Linked DNA regions of Caenorhabditis elegans. The protein of the gene in region 1 purifies or fractionates together with the protein of each later gene. This does not show direct contact. Each region holds a gene or a part of one and is shown on either strand. Other genes may lie near its edges.

Evidence for each region.
Region 2: the proteins of col-149 (region 1) and B0524.6 fractionate together in Caenorhabditis elegans (co-fractionation; one large-scale study listed by BioGRID). This does not show direct contact.

What each region holds. Positions count from the first base shown.
Region 1 is NC_003283.11:10,289,669-10,297,488, forward strand, and holds col-149 (Nematode cuticle collagen N-terminal domain-containing protein), read right to left. Parts: upstream 3,202-7,820; 5' UTR 3,145-3,201; coding exon 3,028-3,144; intron 2,903-3,027; coding exon 2,126-2,902; 3' UTR 2,033-2,125; downstream 1-2,032. Other genes in the region: B0024.15 (Hexosyltransferase), read left to right, coding at 383-434, 818-1,013, 1,069-1,174, 1,219-1,553, 1,595-1,727, 1,807-2,019; col-150 (Nematode cuticle collagen N-terminal domain-containing protein), read right to left, coding at 3,966-4,742, 4,822-4,938; B0024.4 (CUB_2 domain-containing protein), read left to right, coding at 7,764-7,820.
Region 2 is NC_003281.10:1,900,114-1,911,530, reverse strand, and holds B0524.6 (HMG box domain-containing protein), read left to right. Parts: upstream 1-5,890; 5' UTR 5,891-5,895; coding exon 5,896-5,990; intron 5,991-6,034; coding exon 6,035-6,110; intron 6,111-6,159; coding exon 6,160-6,237; intron 6,238-6,309; coding exon 6,310-6,346; intron 6,347-6,392; coding exon 6,393-6,522; intron 6,523-7,020; exon of another isoform or gene 7,021-7,075; intron 7,076-8,506; coding exon 8,507-8,868; intron 8,869-9,478; coding exon 9,479-9,564; 3' UTR 9,565-10,757; downstream 10,758-11,417. Other genes in the region: Polyglutamine-repeat protein pqn-41, read right to left, coding at 213-404, 1,001-1,252, 2,088-2,246, 3,210-3,344, 3,533-3,729, 4,609-5,190, 5,264-5,471, 5,520-5,564.

The DNA.
Region 1 (7,820 bases):
AATGCCGAATAATTCTTCTACATAGAAGTTCATATAGCCTTTCTACTGAATACATAGTTACACTTTTTCCGGATATTAAGTTTATTTGCAAATTTTGGTATCCAAACAAACACATTCGTTTTCTCTTTCCGTCTCTTCTTTGCTAAATCTCTGACACACGTCTTCAGGTGCGAAGAAGTCTGCTTTTTCTTTGCGCACAATTCCCCCGTGTGTATCCCACGACAACGTCCTTTTTCTTAGAGCTTCTCATTCTTTTCTTGGTTTTCAATAGGTGATGTATGATACATTGACCAATAAAGCATGAGAACTATTTCAAGATTTCCAAAATTGTGTTCTTACAGTTTTTTTTGTAAAACAAAAGGTATTTATTTCAGATTCATGCATGAATCTTTGTCGAAAACTCTGGAAATATCTACTCGGTCTAATTATTTTATGTAAGTTGTGGAAGTTATTTTCAGAACATTTTAAATATTATTAAAACATTCAAAACCAATATTTGAGTTTTTGTCTGTTTTTTGAAACTTGGAATTTTGACGATAAGCATTCACGAGTAATGTTCTACTATCATTTTGTACTGTTTATTTACTATTTATTAGATTTTGAGACATTTAATGATAAAAACATTGTGATGTATGTATGTTATTGAAATTTTCAGACTATTGTACTCTGGAGTGTACAGACTGTTGATTTTTTTTGGCAAGACCATTAAAAGAAACACTCCAATAAAAATATTATTTGCATATAAACTTTATCTAACTACCACACCAAGTCAAATATTTAACACTTTCATCAAGTTGGTTGATTTTCATTTTTTCAGACGTTACAGTCTTTCTGAATCTCGATCGAATTCGCTCTTATTCAACAGATGCTCCTATATTTGAAGTGACAAACTCTTTTTCTTCAAAATCTCATTTATCTAAAGATGGGTCAACTAATCAGTTTTACCATGCTCAGTTTAAAGACCAAAATCATACTTATCAGTTCATCACAGTGCCAAAGAAACAGTGCTCTAAGTAAGAAAAGAAAATTAAAAATATAAGTTTTTATGATATCTTAAAATTGTTGCAGTAACACAAAACTTCAAATCACAATTCTTTCAACTGCCGGAAACTTTGATATTCGGCAAGCAATTCGAGAGACATGGGCTAATCCAAATAATTCGGAACATGTCGCTGTATGTTGTCTCTATTTTCTATAATTTTAAAATATTTTTTTCAGAACAATGATGTTAGAATTTCATTTATTATTTCAAAAACAAGCAATGAATTTTTAAATTTTGCTCTTCAAAAAGAAATTGAAAAATTTGACGATATGATTGTAACGGATTTATATGAATCTTATGAACTTTTGATATTAAAAGTTCATGCCATATTAAGCTATAAACAGAGTCACTGTCAACTGGCGGACTTTCAATTGAAAATTGATGATGATATGGCAGTCGATATGGATGGATTATACAGAAGTCTTGAAGATAAGAAACAAGCAAGTATTAACGGAATTAGTGGAATTATTTGGAAAAATTCACCACCAGTGAGAGAAAAAAAACATAGATGGTAGGAAATAAAACATAACAATAGAAATTTCAATATTACAGGTATGTACCAAAAACTCTTTATTCTGAGAAGTTTTTCCCTCCATATATTGATGGCCCAATTTATTTAATCGGAAAAAATGCAGTTCCACGAATGTTGGAGGAAGCTAAGAACTATAATCAATGGATCATTGAGGTATTTTCTGCGATTTTATGATACTAAAAGCCGTTTGAATTCTTAATTTTATTATTAGTTTTAAATTGATTTGTTTCAGGATGTCTTCTGGACTGGAGTTATTGGCAAAGCTTTAAAAATTAAACAAATCAACTGGGCTAATCATCTTCTTCGTTATGTTATTGAGCTCATTCCATCTCGACTCAAATGCTCAAAAGGAGGAGTTCCTTTGATCTACGCAGTTCATAATATGAAAGGTCCGCAAATGATTCATGACGGGTATCAAAAACTGAAGGGTGTTAAGTGTAAATGAACAAATTCAGGGAAAATAAAACATTTTATTTTTGTTCTTATTATGATCAGAGCATTGTCTGAATTTCTTATTATTGCAGAAAATTGATTGAAGAAGTTAATAATATCTAGTGTCGCTTGAGAAACATGACTGAACGAGTTGGACAAGCGCAATAGGCAGCATCAGATCCTTGAAGACCTGGATTTCCTGGAGCTCCTGGATGACCATCGGATCCTCGGTTTCCTGGTTGACCTGATCTTCCAGCTGGTCCACATGGTCCACTTGGTCCTCTCTCTCCTGGTCTTCCTGGGTTTCCAGGTGCTCCTTGACGTCCTGGTTGTCCAGCTCTTCCTGGTGCTCCTGGAGATCCGTGTCCGCGACGCCCATCCTTTCCTGGATGTCCTGGTTGTCCTGGATTTCCATCTCTTCCTGGTTGTCCAGCATTTCCTTGTGGTCCTGGTTGTCCTGGTCTTCCATCATTTCCTCGTCTTCCTGGTTGTCCTGGACGTCCGTCTGGACCCGGTCTTCCAACCTGTCCGCATGTACCGGATGGTCCTGGTGGTCCGGCCGGGCATTTAATACAGTCTTGATTACGCGGTGGACAGGCGGGAGCACGAATTGTGTTATAATTATCTTGTCCATTGCGTCCTGGAATTCCTGGAATTCCTCTCTGTCCTGGATGCCCTGGTGGTCCTGGTGGTCCTCGTGGACATTTTGGCTTTGTTGGCTCACATTGGCACCAAGCTGGGAGACCTGAGAAAGTTGAACGACGTTTTTGGCGGAAGACGGAGTTGAATGGATTTTCCTTTGGCTGAGATGGTGGGGAGACCATGACTTGAACATCGAGCATCTCAACCCAGGCAGCATCAGTGTCGGCGCGGAACATCTTCACACCATCAAGAACCTGAAAATAAATTATTATATTTCACAGAAGTATAAATAACATTTAGTTAATATTTTCTGATCCATCTTTTGAGGAAAAATATTATTTCGAAAATGTAAATTAGAAAACAATATTAAAATGCAAACCTCGTCATGCATCTCATTAATAGTAGAGTAGAGTCCTGGAATGACAACAACACATGTCAAAATGGCAATAGTAGATGCCAAAGAGGCAATACCAACCAGAAGCTTCTCCTCAAACATTTTAGCTCAGTCCGAACGTCTTCTCCTTGAAAGGGAAGTCGATGTGGATGATGAATTTTCAAACCCTTCATCCTTCACTTAAATACTTTTCCGGAGAAGGTCGCCGCACCAGGCGCAAAATGGGCGGGGCATCTGTATCCCCATCTTTTTTACTTTTATCATCTAAAGTTTCTGTTCTCTTTCTTCTCTCTTTCTCGCTCCTGCAATTTAGTTTTGCACCCGTAAACGTAAACGTTTTTCTTTCCGTTTCTGACCTAATTGGTAACTCCTCGCGCCAACCGCGCCTTGACCATTTTGATAGGAGAAATTGATAAGAAAAGGTGAAATAAAGAAAATGAGATGATATGAAAAAAAGGGAACGCTTTTTTTGCCCTTTACGATGACACAATGACCGCTTTCTCTTTCTCGGAGAAGAACATCCAATTGCGGAATAAGAGTGTGAGAGTAGAACTATTCAACCTGTTTTTGCCAAATGTTTAGTTGGTTTTTTCGATAGTAGGAAACAATTTTCAAAACTTTCAGATAGAGACGTTGAAACTTTTCGACGTGGTACTGTGAAACTGATGTGGTACTTGAAAATAACCGTTTCATTGGTGAACTAGTACACATTTTCAAGAGGTTACATCACTTCAAGGCATATTGAAACTTAGTTACTCTTCTCAATTGTAATTCGAGAATTGTCTGCCGAGTCTCTAATTTTCTTAACATGATGAATATTCATAGGTCTTGTTCGATGGAAAAATATTCAAAAACGGTGCATAAAAGTTTATTTTTGTTGTTGTGGAGTGAAAAAAGAAAATAAAAACCTTAAAATCCAACTTCTAATGCCTTGCTTTGACAAACACTGACGATCTTGGTGGGCATGCACAATATGCAGCATCTGGTCCTGGAAGGCCTCTACCTCCTGGAGTACCTGGATGTCCATCGGATCCTCTGTTTCCTGGTTGCCCTGGTCTTCCTCCTGGTCCTGGTTGACCATCTTGTCCTCTTTCTCCTTTTCTTCCTGGATTTCCTGCACTTCCTTGCTTTCCTGGTTGTCCTGGTCTTCCAGCTGTTCCTGGATGCCCACGTCCCTTTCTTCCGTCTTTTCCTGGATTTCCTGGTTGCCCGGGTTCTCCGTCTCTTCCAGGATGTCCAGCATTTCCTTGTGGTGCCGGTTGACCTGGTCTACCATTATTTCCTTTTCTTCCAGGTTGTCCTGGACGTCCATCTGGACCTGGTCTTCCTGCTTGTCCAATTGAACCTGTTGGGCCTGCTGGTCCTCGTGGGCATTTAACACATCCTGGTTGTTGTCGTGGACATTGAATTGGAGCATGCACCTGATGATTGTCCTGTCCACGGGGTCCTGGTGATCCAGAAGTTCCACGTTGTCCTGGACGACCTGGAGGTCCTGGTGGTCCCCGTGGACAACGTGGCTTCGCCGGCTCACATTGACACCAAGATGGTAATCCCGAAAATGTTTGACGCTTTTGACGGAAGACAGAGTTAAATGGATTTTCCTTAGGCTTTGATGGTGGAGATACCATTACTTGAACATCGAGCATCTCAACCCAGGCAGCATCCGTTTCTGCGCGGAAAATCTTCACACCATCCAAAACCTGAATGGAAACATGAGTAAGGTTTAATTTTAAATGAGAAAATAATGATTTTTTGTCATTAAATTTAACTAAATCATACTTCTTCATGGACTTCATTGATAGTGCTATAGAGTGATGGAATAACCACAAGACAGACGATAACGGCAACAGTAGATGCCAATGAGGCTATTCCAACTAGGAGCTTTTCTTCAAACATCGTCAGATGTGTTGTGCCTTCTGAACATCTGACATTCTCTTTTATACTCATCGACGGAAGGTCAATTTCTGCCATGCCAACAGCCATTAACGATGGGCGGTACCACCCAGAAGAACAGCCGGTGGTTGAAGGAGGGCATCATGTTTTTTGTCTGCCGGATGGTTTTGGTAGAAATAAAAAAATGAAGGAAGTATCGAATGCGATTAAGGAAGTTACTTACTGGAAATAACGAAAAAATCGGAGAAAATCACAGCGGTGTGCAGTTAAGTAATGCGATTTCGTTTTGTTTACTGGTTTGATTGACTTATGTCTTGTTCATAGTTTAAATTTGAAACTACTTTTTTAATAATTGTTACTGATGTTTTCAAATTTTTGAATCCCTAGATGTTGTTTCTAAAATTATAAAATAAAGTTAGATGCCTTCAATGATCAAATAGTTAAATTTACTCCTTTGGTTATTGTACCTAAACAAGTTTTACAAATTTGCAAATTTATAAATAATTAGCAGTTCTGATTTAATTTTTAAAATGTCACTTTTCATAAAGCCTATTTTCACTTCAGTTTTAAGTATGTAGCTCACTGTCAGTTGACAGTTCCGAGTTTAGACCAAGAAAAACCACGATAATAAGCTTTGAACTTTGAGAGATTTTACAGAAAACAACAAAACAATTGAATTTACGGAAACATGTTTTCTCTCAAATTAACGCATTTTCTACTTTCAGACTACACCAAACAAACATCTTAATTTTCAAGAAAAAAATTTCCGACGACACATAGCCATGATATTGTGATGGGATTTATTATAACGATTATCTCAATGATATCTTCTTATTTATGTGTATTTTTTGCCCGGTAACACAAAAACAAATTTATTTCCACCGCATGATTTCCTTCTCATCTTGATTCCCAAAACTTCCCTCTATTACTCTCCTCCTCGACAATTTGTCCTTGACCGATCCGTTTGAAATCCCAAGGAATTGTTACTTTTTCGGAAGCTGTTATAGAAGATTTAGATATGAGATACTGAGAAATGAATTCTATAGAATCGGTTGGAACCTGGAACCATCGGAAATTCACCAGGATGGAACGGAATCTTTCTTTTTAGCCATGTTATTATTTTGGTTGGAACCGGAAACAGGAAGAAGCTGCAAAAGTGTAATGTTATACTAGTTGATTACAAAGTACTGATCATGATAAAATTGTGTTCCTTTGTTCAATTTAACTGTAATTTATGTCGTGATTATCGCACCTTTCAAACTTTGTTACAAAATCTACAGAAATAGAAAAACACTTCGGAGCTCTCATAATCCAATTATTGTGATCTTTTTCAGTTTCCAAACCAATGTAAAATATATTAACTTCTCTTAAATCAATTAAAATAAATAAATAAATTTTACTGCAAAAATTCTTCTTCTTCTGGACGTTGACTTCATCGAAAAATGTAAGCGACAAATTGGGTGTTAATATGCATTCTAAGTTGTTTTACTGAATGCTATGTAGTTAGTATTTTAACACTTTCGTCAGTTGGGTATTTTCGTTAATCATTTTTCGTTGAATTTCCAAATGAAGGGTAAGGTAATATTTGACTGAAGTTTTCATTTTCCTGATTACATTCACAGTAAATCTAACAATGGAATGAATTCACCAAACTGTTACTAATAGGTTTAGCTTTTACACGAATACTTCTAATTTCTAAGTAATTTCTTGAATATAATACCTGTAATTAAAGCTACCTAACCACGCAAACTTCAAGGAATCGACCTCGACCATCACAATGAAAAATTGACAAACCTAGGTGCTATTTCAAAAGTCGATTGATGTGATTTACGATGTCTGGAGACTCTTCTACCTCTGATAATCAAATTAGGAGAAGGAACGTCGAATGGCTTTCAAGGTCTTTACGAATTCTGATTTTTGATTACATGGTATATATCTTTTTGGCAGTTTCTGTAATCTATTAAAACTTTAACAATTTATCCGACCAGAGTATCAAAAAGCGACTTTCAACAGATATCGGAGATATCTGCAGATTTGCAAATCTCGGTTCAACTTCAATATCTATTCTTTTCCGTTTTTGTAACGTCAAAATCCGTGTCGTGACGTCATCATAATCTGGGAGGTTTCCGTCGAGACAAAACTGGTTTTAATAAATACAAAGGAACGGAAGCAGGAGAAGAAGATGGAAAAGAAGGGGTGCAAGGTTATTTATGCGGTGGAAATGACACGGGAAAGGTGGCAAAATGTAATACATGGGAACTTTGATTGGCATACAATGGTAGACAACTTTAATTATAGATAATGGCTTTTAGAAACAATAAAAAATAACAAAGAAGAATAGTATAAGAGCAATTATAGAAAAATCATGGATTTTATGAGATACTGTTCTTGTTGCAGTGACTAACCCAAAATATTAAAAAATTGAAGCTACTGTATCTGTTTTTAATATGTATTCTTCTCGTTGGAGCTTAGAAATTTTGGCATGAACCTCAATTTTCGCAAAAGATATAAGATAGGCTTTGATTGCCTTTGCACCAGGCAGACATGTTTTGTTTAAGTGAATGCTTTTTAAGCTTCTCTTAAACACCATTCGTTTTAGACACTATCTATGTTGGAGTCATAATCTGTTGCAAATTGAAATGGGTTTTTTCTATAATTGTGAATCATCATTCTGATTCACCAGCTTTGTGATTATACCTTTCTTATCACTATTATCACTCCCATTTACACTCCTCCTCGATTTCTCAATGTTTACATAGCTGTTCTTTTTAAGCAGGCAATAAGCCTGAAATAACGGTATTCCAAACGAACTTTCTATTTCTAGTAGAATGATTGTTCCAGTTTTATTTTCGTTATTTGCTGTCTGCAATGCACAACAAATTCTC
Region 2 (11,417 bases), on another chromosome or scaffold:
TTTGCGTACTTTTGAGGCTACCGTAACCCGGAAAATTCAAATTTCAAGCTAGAAGCCCGAAAAATAGCGGGGTTTAGGGTAAAAAAGCACGAAGAATTCGAATTTCGCACTGAAAATTTCGAAATTTTGCTTAAAAATTTTCGCTTAAAAAATCATCGATTTCTTGCCAAAATTCCACATTTTAGGGTCAAATTTTGCCGATTTTTCAGTACCTTATACCCTTTGGCATCAGCTGCGGCCCGTAAAATCTGCCGAATTTGCCAAGTTGGCGGTTTCCAGAGTTTTGCCAGTTTTTGGCGTTTTGTTAGTTTAAATTGTACAGTTTTGACGCGTTTTTCGCCGCGTTTTTTCGTATCTTTTTTCAGTAGAATGCCTTTTTTCGGTGGTGGCGACGGTGGTGAGATCTGAAAAAAATTCAAAATTTCAGTAAATTTTACGTTAAAATGGTTTTCTGGCATTTTTCTGACAAAATTTGGGATTTTTCAATAGAAATTCCCAATTTTAAGTCATTTTTTGGGGTTTTTGCAGTGAAATTTAAATGTTTATGGGTGAAAAATACCCGATTTTTGTGAATTTTTTGATTGAAATTTCCAACTTTCCGTCATTTTCTGGATTTTACGCTAAAAAATTGGCGATTTTTGCCAATTTTCCGATCAAAAATTCGAATTTTTCAGCAAATTTTACCCAAAAACCACTAATTTTTCGTGTAAATTCCAAGTTTTTTAGGCGAAAAATTGAATTTTTTATTGAAATTTTCACTCCATTTCGGGTTTTTTTCGCCGAAATTTACATTTTTTTGGCATTTTTCTGACAAAATTTCGATTTTTCGATAAAAATTCTTAATTTTAAGCCATTTTTAGGGGTTTTCCACAGTGAAATTTCCATGTTTATAGGTCAAAAATACCCGATTTTCATTAATTTTTCGCCAACTTTCCCGATTTTTGTGTCAAAAATCGGCGTTTTTCCCAAATTTTCACTCGAAAAATCGAATTTTCCGTACCATTTTATTAATATTTAGTTTATATACATCAGGTTTCACATCCTCCTCAATTTTGTGCTCAAAATCATCGCAAATTTCCTCTTTTTTCACTAAATTCTCCTCTGAAAAATCCGTCGGCTCTTCCTTTGTGATGACGTCATCGGGCGGCTCCGAGGCTTCTGATGAGCTCTCCGAATCGGAATTTTCAGTGGAATTTCTTCCTCTCCGGCGCCGCCAAATTTCACGGCGAATCGAGTTTCGGTAGATTTTTATCTGGAAAAATTGAATTTTTAAAAAGAAAAATTTGAGGAAATTTTAGAGTTTCAACGGAAAAAACCGAGAAAATTTGAATTTTTCGGCGAAAAATGTGAGAATTTTCGATTTTTAACTGGAAAAACAGATTAAAATTTGTCTTTTTCAGTGGAAAATCTGAAATTTTGGCTTTTTTCAACGAAAAATTTGAAAATTTTAGGATTTTAACCGAAAAAATGTGGAAATTTGAATTTTTCCGGCCAAAAATCTGAAAATTTTAAATTTTTACCTGGAAAAAACAGAGAAATTTTGGATTTTTCCGGCCAAAAACCTGAAAATTTCAATTTTTCCAGCGAAAAAATTCGAAAATTTTCGATTTTTAACTGAAAAAAAAAACAGAGAAAAACTGAAATTTTCCAGTGGAAAATCTGAAATTTTGGATTTTTTCAACGAAAAATTTGAAAATTTTAGGTTTTTAACCGAAAAAATGTGGAAATTTGAATTTTTCCGGCCAAAAATCTGAAATTTTGAAATTTTTAACTGGAAAAAACAGAGAAATTTTGGATTTTTCCGGCCAAAAACCTGAAAATTTCAATTTTTCCAGCGAAAAATTCGAAAATTTTGGATTTTTTATTGTAAAAACCGAGAAAAATTGAATTTTTTCAGGAAAAAATCTGAAAATTTCAAATTTTTAACTGAAAAAATTCGAAAAATTTGGATTTTTTATTGTAAAAACCGAGAAAAATTGAATTTTTCCACCGAAAAATCCGAAAATTTCAGATTTTTAACTGGAAAAATGACCATTTTTACGAGAAAAAGTGGTTTTTTTTTGCCAAAAATTTGCAATTTTCCGCACCAAATTCCGGCGTTTTTGCCATTTTTTAAAGTGATTTCGGTCTTCAATCTCCAATTTCTTATCATTTTGATCTCTTTCTTCCTCTTCAAGCCGTCGACGTTCAAGCTCAATCTCTTGCTCTTCATATTCCCCGGCATTCGTTGGATAATTGATTTTTGGCTGAAAATTTCGTGAGTTTTTAGGTGAAAATTGGGAAATTTGGTAATTTTTAGGACGAAAAAGTGGGATTTTTTCGAATTTTTAGGTTAAAAATTGCAAAATTTGTAGATTTTCTACTAGAAAATGTGAAAATTTGGCAATTTTCAGGTAGAAAAATGTGACTTTTTTGGTTTTTTCAACAAAAAAAATCGTAAAATTTCGCATTTTCCAGTAAAAAATCATGAAAATTCTGATTTTTCTGGGGGAAAATGTGAAAATTTTGCAATTATCAGGTGGAAAATCTTGAAATTTAGCGAGTTTCCAGTGAAAAATCGCGAATTTTAAGATTTTTCAGTGAAAAATTGTGAAAAGTCCAAATTTTTAGGTGAAAAATCGTGAAATTTGGCTATTTTCACAGAGAAAAATGCAATATTTTCAAATTTTTAGGTAGAAAAATGTGACTTTTTTGGTTTTTTCAACAAAAAAATCGCAAAATTTCGCGTTTTTTCAGTGAAAAATTGTGAAAATTCTGATTTTTCAGGTGAAAAATCTTGAAATTTTCCAATTTTCACAGCGAAAAATGCAATATTTTCATATTTTCAGGTAGAAAAATGTGACTTTTTTGGTTTTTTCAACAAAAAAACGTAAAATTTTGCATTTTTTCAGTGAAAAATCTTGAAAAGTCCAAATTTTTAGGTGAAAAATCAAGGAAATTCGGATTTTTCTGGGGGGGGGGGGGGGGGGGGGGGGGGGGGGGGAAATAGTGAAATTTGGCAATTTTCAGGTAGAAAAATGTGACTTTTTTTGGTTTTTGGAACCAAAAATCTCAAAATTTTGAGATTTTCAGGTGAAAAATGGTAAAATTTTTTTCAATTTCTAAAGGTTAAAAAGTGAATATTTTGAGATTTTTTGGGGTAAAAATTGTGAAAATTCCGAATTTTTAGGTGAAAAATCCTCCAAATTTCCACACACAAAACCGCGCACCGGTTTGGGCTTATAAAACGGTAAACTCGACACAAATTCCACAATTTCCTTCTTTTCATCACGCATTTTTCGAAATTTGTGATCCACATTTTGGCGGTCATAACGGACGGTTTGTTGCTCATTGAATTCGGATTCCTGCAATAAAAAAATCGATTTTTTCGGCTGAAAATTGCCAAAAATCGTTAAAATTGGCAAGTTTTTTGGCTAAAAAACGTCAAAAATCGAATTTTCGACCATTTTTTTCAACATTTTCAGCACAATTTCACTGAAAAATCGATTTTTTCGGCTGAAAATTGTCAAAATTTAGATTTTTTCCCACTTACCAATACTAATAAATACTCCATTCCCTGAATTTCACATCCTTTTTTCTCCACAACTATCCAATTTCGATTTTTATGCTTAACAATGTCCAAAACTTCCATTTTCAGCGATTTATCCTCGATGACGTCATCAGAATTGGCTCTTTGAGCTTCAATTTGCTCCCATTCGGCGTCTTCTTGTTGCTCCTGGAGTCGTTTTTCTGAAAAATTCGAATTCTCCGTGATTTTTTACACCGAAAACCCATTTTTCACAGCTCAGAAGCCAAAAATGAGGAATCTGTGCATTTTTGCGTCGTGTTGCTCGGTGTTTGCGTACTTCTGAGGCTACAGTACCCCCGGAAATTCAAATTTTGAGCTAGAAGCCCATAAAAATGACGTTCCAGGGTAAAAAATGATGGGAATTTCAAATTTGATGATTAAAAATTTTGAAAAAGTGCCTGAAACCCAAAATTTCAAATTTGCGCCGCAAATGTTAACTTTCACAGGTTTTTTAGTACGAAATTCGAATTTTACGCAAATTTTTACTCCCGGAGCACTATTTTCAGAGCTCCGCCATGAAATTTACGGAAATTGTGCATTTTGTCGTAAGCCCCTCGGTGTTTGCGTCTTCCGAGGCTACAGTACCCCCGGAAATTCAAATTTCGAGCTAGAAGCCTGGGAGAAAGAGTTCCTAAGCTAAAATTTCACGGAGAACTCGATTTTGAGCTCGAAAAATGGCATTAAAGTCAAGAAACTTGAAAAAAGTCAACTTTGGAATTTTCTGCGGGGGGGAATTGAGGCATTTTCTTGTGAATTTTCTGAATTTTAAGCTCAAAATTCAAGTTCAAAAGTGTTTTTTACCCCTATCTAGGCAGTTTTCGCAAACTTCTGCATTTTGTCGTAAGTTCTGCGGTGTTTGCGTACTTCTGGGGCTACCGTAACCCGGAAATTTCAAATTTCGAGCTAGAAGCCTGGGAAGACGAGTTTGAAAGGTAAAAAATCACGAAAAATTCGAATTTGGTACTGAAAAAGTTTAAAAATCAGTTAAAAATTTGAATTTCCGAGCCAATTTTTCGCGCATTTTCCTCCTAAAATCGTACGTTTTTCCTGGAAAATCCTCAAATTTTCCGCTTTTTCCTGTCTCCGAATCCACGAGATCAGATTCTGCGGATCCACGAGGCATTCCCGTCTTCGAATCAATTTTCGATCGATAAATCGAACTCTCGGGCGAATTTTCAGCCGCAATTTTCGGTTTTTCGAGGTTTTCGGGCGGCGAAATTCGATTTTTCGTTGGTTTTTCGTTTTTGGACGGCGGAGATATCGATTTTTCGTCGTCGTTTTCCGCTTGAAACACACTAAAACAGCGATTTTTCGCCAATTTTTTGCGGTTTTTTCGCGTTTTTTCACTGGAAATTGCTCGATTTTGATGGGAAATTCTTGTAAATCCAGAGAATTTCTTTTTTCTCGCGAAATTCTCCAATTTCCAGGCATTTCATCCAGTTTTTTGGCTCCTTTTCGTTCAATCGTCCAAATAGCCTTGCGAATTTCGGATTTTCTGTACAAATTGTGCATTTTGAGCCATTCCGCCCGTCTTTTATCCATTAAAACCAGCGATTTCATCGATTTATGCGAAATTCGCCATCCAGTTTGATATGAAGCGTATTTCGGAAGGCAGAGGTTGTCTGGAAGTGGAAATTTCGTTAATTTTGAGGCAAAAATTCGAGGATTTTTTCGGTAAAAACTCGAAAAACCAACCAGAAATCCAGTCTCTGTGCTCACAATTCGTGTTATGAAGCCGAAAAGGCGTCTTAATCGGCGGATTTACTCGTGGTGGCGGGAAAAATATGCGGAATTCCTCATCCCTCCGCTTTTTCGCCGTTTTCTTCGATTTTTGCAACTTTTTCTGCGTTTTTGGCAGCTTTTTCGCGGTTTTTTCACACGTTTTAGTGGATTCGGTGTCACTCTGCAAGGTATTTGAGTGAAAACTGGCTGTAAATTGGTAAAAACTCACGGTATGCGCCGAATCTGACCCTTGTTGCAGCTTTTTTGGCTTCATTTTCTGAAATATTGATTTTTAATCAAAAAATTTGAAAAAAATCACAAATTTTCCATGTTTTTCCATGAAAAACCATAAAAAAACAGAAAAACAGAAAAACAAAAATTATTAAATTTTAAATTGTCACAACGACACTCCGAAATAACGGTCTAAACAAGGCGCGCGCCTAGTTAACACCGTTATTTCGGAGTGTCGTTGTGACAACAAAAAATTTTTATTTTTCATTTAATTTTTGTTTTTCGCCCAATTTTACCGGATTTTTATCAAATTTTTCAATTTTTTCGCTAAATTCATCGATTTTTGAATCAAAAAATCACTATATTCAGGTAAAATGCGTCCGGAAACCGTAAAAACCATGCGAATACGAAGTTCAGTGACCCGAAATGATTCTGGATCGGTTTCACCGCCGGCTCCCAGTACTTCAAGGTTATTTAAAAAATAGAAATCTCATGTTAATTGTGAAATTTCAGTGATGAAATGGCAATTTTTCGCCAAGTTATGCGAAAAACCTTTGCAAATCTGCCTCCACTGGAGTTGGAGCTGAAAGTGAGCATTTTTTTTGGGAATTTTTGATTTAAAAATTGAAAAATTTCAGATTGAGCAGCTTTGGAATGGTCTGACGCCGGCGCAGCGGGAGAAAATGATGAAAAATGGGGAAAAGGAGAATGTTTCGGTAAATTTTTTTATTAAAAATTTTTTTTTTAAATTTTTTAGCCCTAAAAAAATTGAAAATTGAAAATTTCAGCAAAAACAAGCAGCAGTGTCGATGGAAACTCGTAAAAGTAAATTTTCAACGAGAAAAATCGCTGAAAAACTGGAAATTTTCAGATTGTAACGCTATAGCAAAGGTTTTGGACATTAAACCGTCGACAACACCGACAAATTCATATGCAGAAAGATTGAAAATTCGAATTAAAGCATATCATAATGAGGGATTCATTTTGGCGTCCCGGGAAGGGTACGGAGCACCGAAAACGCGGAAAAATGGCTGAAAATTCATAATTTTCTGCAAAAACTGCCCTAAAAATGCAGAAATTTGCTCAAATTTTAGGTTTTTCTTACTAAAAAGTTCAATTGTTTTTCCAAAATTTTTCTAAAAATGTAATTTCCTAACAGTTTCTCAGTGACTTCTGTGTTCTACTCTTATTGATAGTTGAAAAACTGTATTTTTTGCATTTTCAACCTTAAATTAGCCAATTTAAGATTGAAAATGCAAAAAATACCGTATTTCTGCCAACAATTTGACAAAAGAGCACATTTGTCACTCGGAGATGCGGAAGCTATGCCCAAATTTTCATTTTTCCGGAAAACTTGTGATTTTTCACTAATTTTCGAGATTTAATGTCCAAATTTTCATTTTGAACCGATTTTTGAAACTTTGCAGTGCGAAATTCGAATTTTCCGTGGTTTTTTACCCTAAAACCTCTTTTTGCCGGGCTTCTAGCTTGGAATTTGAATTTTCCGGGTTACGGTAGCCCCAGAAGTACGCAAACACCGCGGATCTCACGACAAAATGCAGAATTTCGCGAAAAATGTCTAAATTGGTGTAAAAAAGCTTCTAAATCCGAATTTTGAGCTTAAAAAGCGCAAGAATGTCTCAATTCTCGCAGAAAAAATTAAAAAATGACATTTTTTCAAAATTTGAGGATTTAAAAAAAAAAATGTACGGAAATTCAAATTTTTCAGCAAAAACCGATAAAAGCCGGGCTTTTCTCCAGGAAATTCAAATTTCCATCCGAATTTTTCAATTTTAACCGACTTTTGAAACTTTTCAGTGCGAAATTCGAGTTTTCCATAGTTTTTTTCCATTAAAACTCGTTTTCCTAAGCTTCTAACTCGAAATTTGAACTTTTCGGGTTACGGCAGCCTCAGAAGTACGCAAACACTACAGATCTTACGAAAAATGGCTGGATAGGGGTAAAAAATTATTTTGAATCTGAATTTTGAGCTTAAAATCAGTAAAAAATGCCTCAATCCCCGCAGATATTTCAAAAATTTAATTTTTTTTAACTTTTTCTCAGTGACTTGTGTGTTTCTACTCGTATTGATGGCATAAAAACGGGTATTTATTCACATTTTCAGCCTTAAATTTGCCTGAAAATGTGAATAATTACCGTATTGCTGCAAACAATTTGACAATAGAGCACATTTGTCACTCGGAGATGCGGAAGCTATGCCCAAATTTTGCAATTTTTCCCGGAAAACTTGCCATTTCTATCGATTTTTCTCGAATTTTCAGTTAAAAATTGAGTTTTTCACTCATTTTTACCCATAGAAATTGCTTTTTTTGCACAAAATAGATTGATGGTCTAACTTTTGACATTTCTAGGTCACCAATCTGAAAATGATCGTTTCTAGCCATTTTGTAGCGATTTTTTTGGATTTTTACTTGAAAATTGCAAAATTTTCAATTTAAATCCGTAAAATCTACTAGAAATCGATATATTTCCCCTGTGACTTGTGTGTTTCTACTCGTATTGTTGGCATAAAAACGGGTACTTATTCACATTTTCTGCCTTAAATTGGCTGAAAATGTGAATAAATACCGTATTTCTGCCAACAATTTGACAATAGAGCACATTTGTCACTCGGAGATGCGGAAGCTATGCCCAAATTTTCAATTTTCAGTCAAAAACTTGCCCAAATTTTTTTTAACCCGATTTTTGAAAATTTTCATTATGAACTTCGATTTTTTCATGGTTTTTTACCCTAAAACCTCTTTTCGCCGGGCTTCTAGCTCGAAATTTGAACTTTTCGGGTTACGGTAGCTCCAGAAGTACGCAAACACCGCGGATCTTACGGAAAAATGCAGAATTTCGCGAAAAATGCCTAAAAAACGCTTCTAAATCCGAATTTTGAGCTTAAAAAGCGCAAAAAATGATGATTTTTCACTCTAAAACTGCAAAATTTTCACAAAAAATTGAAAAAAAAGGATTTTTCAGCCCTCCAACACTTCCATCACGACTTCCACCCACCGCAGCAGAGCCAAAAATCTCACTTCCGACATCAAAACCACCGCCAATTCCCATAAAAATCGAGGAAATGGTTCAAAAAACCGTCCAACACCTTCGAAAACCCCAAAAACACGCCAGAATCGTCGTAAAACCGATAAAATGTGCCCAAAAACCACAAAATTCGGCGGAAAAAGGACGAAATCCCGTTAAAAAATCAATTGAACCGGTTGAACCAATGGTTTTGGAGCCAATTGCTCCACCACCACCACAGTCTCCTGTAATAAGTTACAGTGAAGCGTGTAAAATGTACTATCAGACACTGTCACAAATGACGCTTTTGGCTGATTTTGGTAGGTTTTTAGGCGAAAAAAGCGAGAAAAATTGCATTTTTGACCCTAAAAAAACGAAAAATTGAATAAAAATCGAATTTTTGAGCTGAAAATTCCATATTTTCAGCTCTAAAAGCACCTGAAATAGAATAATTTTCTGATTTTCGACCTAAAAAAATTTTTTTTGAGCTTAAAAATCAGGTTTTATCAGTTCAAAAACCTGAAAAATTCGATTTTTTAGTCTAAAAACTTGATTTTTAGCGAAAAATTTGAATTTCTGAGCAAAAAATGCGGGAAATTTCATTTTTGAGCTTAAAAATCGACTTTTCGAGCAATTTTCACCAGAAAAAGCTGGAAAGACTGGATTTTTGCCTAAAAATGCCTAAAATTTGCGAATTTTCCCATAAAATCTTCAAGTTTTTTTCAAAAAATTCGAATTTTCAGCCAATTTTTATTCCGGAAATCGATTTTTAGAACAAAAAATGGCCTAAAAATGAAATTTCCCCATAGAAAATTCAAATTTTTCACTTGAAAATCGATTTTTAGTCAATTTTAAAGTATAAATATCGATTTTTATCACAAAAAAATCATAAAAATTGGCTGAAAATCAACAAATTTCCCCAATTTTCAGAAGATCTATCGATGCTGACAGAATACGCGAATATTGTGGAAGGAATTCGGCCAATACGAGAATTTAATTACGGATTTGAATTATAGAAATTATCAGAAAATGTACAGAACCCCTGAAAAAATCGAATTTTTGACTTAAAAATTTGAATTTGAACTGAAAAATTTGATTTTTGACTGAAAAATTCGCCTTTTACATGAGAATTTCAATTTTTGACCAAAAAATTTCAAAAAATCGAATTTTAACTGAAAAATCGATTTTTACATGAAAAAATCGATTTTTGATCAAAAAATTGAATTTTAACCGAAAAAATCTATTTTTGACTTAAAAATTCGATTTTTTACTCAAAAAATCGAATTTTAACTGAAAAATCGATTTTAGACCCAAAATTTCAATTTTTGACTGAAAAAATCGAGTTTTCACTATAAAAAATTCGAATTTTTGACCCAAAAATTCGATTTTTGACTTAAAAATTTGAATTTTAACTGAAAATTCGATTTTTACATGAGAATTGCAATTTTTAACTGAAAAATTCGATTTTTGAATTAAAGATTCAATTTTTGACTTAAAAATTCATCGTAGGACCCCCAAAATAATCTATTTTCTTTTTGTTATCACACCGCTTCCACCACCTGAAAAAGTTAAAAAAAAACCGCTGAAAATTGTTGAAAAATGAGAATTTTCAGCCCATTTTTGGCGGGAAAAGCTGAAAATTTGAATTTTTGCAATGTTTTTAACCTGAAAATCCGATTTTTCCGGCTGAAAAAGCTGAAATTTGAACGTGTTTTCCGTGAATTCCACACATTTTTCGATGAAAAATTCACTAAACACTCAAAAATTCAGCTGAAAAATCTCGAATTTCCCACTTTCTCGCTGAAAATTCCATTTTCAACCAGTTTTTCAGCCTGAAAAAGCTTAAAATCGTCAGTTTTCACTCGAAAAACTGAAATTTTTCGATTTTTTCGGCTGAAAAATCGCAAAATTCTCATTTTTCACACAATTTCAGCCGGTTTTCAGCCTGTTATTTTAGACATTTTTATAGAGAATTTTCACCCAAAAACCCTCGATTTTTTCATTGTTTTCTAGCCACCGCTGTTATAAATTCGGACACACCGCCCGGAAATTTCACACCCTGTTTTACTTGTTATCACCGCCCCCGTTTTCCCATAGATTTATCGATTTTCTTGTTACTTTTCTGTTTTTTTTTGTTCGTCTGTTTCTCGCTATTACTGCTGCTTTCCTGCTTGGAAAAATTCCAATAAATTTGAATTTTTATTCAAATTTGAGGTTTTTTTTTTGTTGCTGAAAATCGATTTTCCGGCTAGTTTTCGGCAAGTTTCGAGCTCAAAATCGAGTTCTCCGTGAAATTCTAGCCTAGAATCTCTTTTCCCCAGGCTTCTAGCTCAAAATTTGAGTTTCTCCGGGTACTGTAGCGTCAAAAGTACGCAAACACCGAGAACTCCACGCAAAGATGCACAACTTCCTCAATTTTTGTGGCTAGGCTCTGACAAATTGAGTTTTGGGGTAAAAAATTACGGGGAACTCGAATTTCACACTGAAAATTTTGGAAAATTAATAATTGCGCCCGAAATTCAAGTTTTTCAGATTAAAACTTTGTTAATACGGGAATTTCAAGCTCAAAATCGAGTTCTCCGTGAAATTCTAGCCTAGAATCTCTTTTCCCCACGCTTCTAGCTCGAATTTTGAATTTCCCGGGGTACGGTAGCGCCAAAAGTACGCAAACACCGAGGCTCCCACGACAAAATGCACAGATTCCTTAATTTACGTGGTAAAGCTCTGAAAAATGGAGTTTTGGGGTAAAAAATGACGGGGAACTCGAATTTCACACTGAAAATTTTGGAAAATTAATAATTGCGCCCGAAATTCAAGTTTTTCAGAATAAAATTTTTTGTTATTAAGGGAATTTTAGCTGAAAATGCGA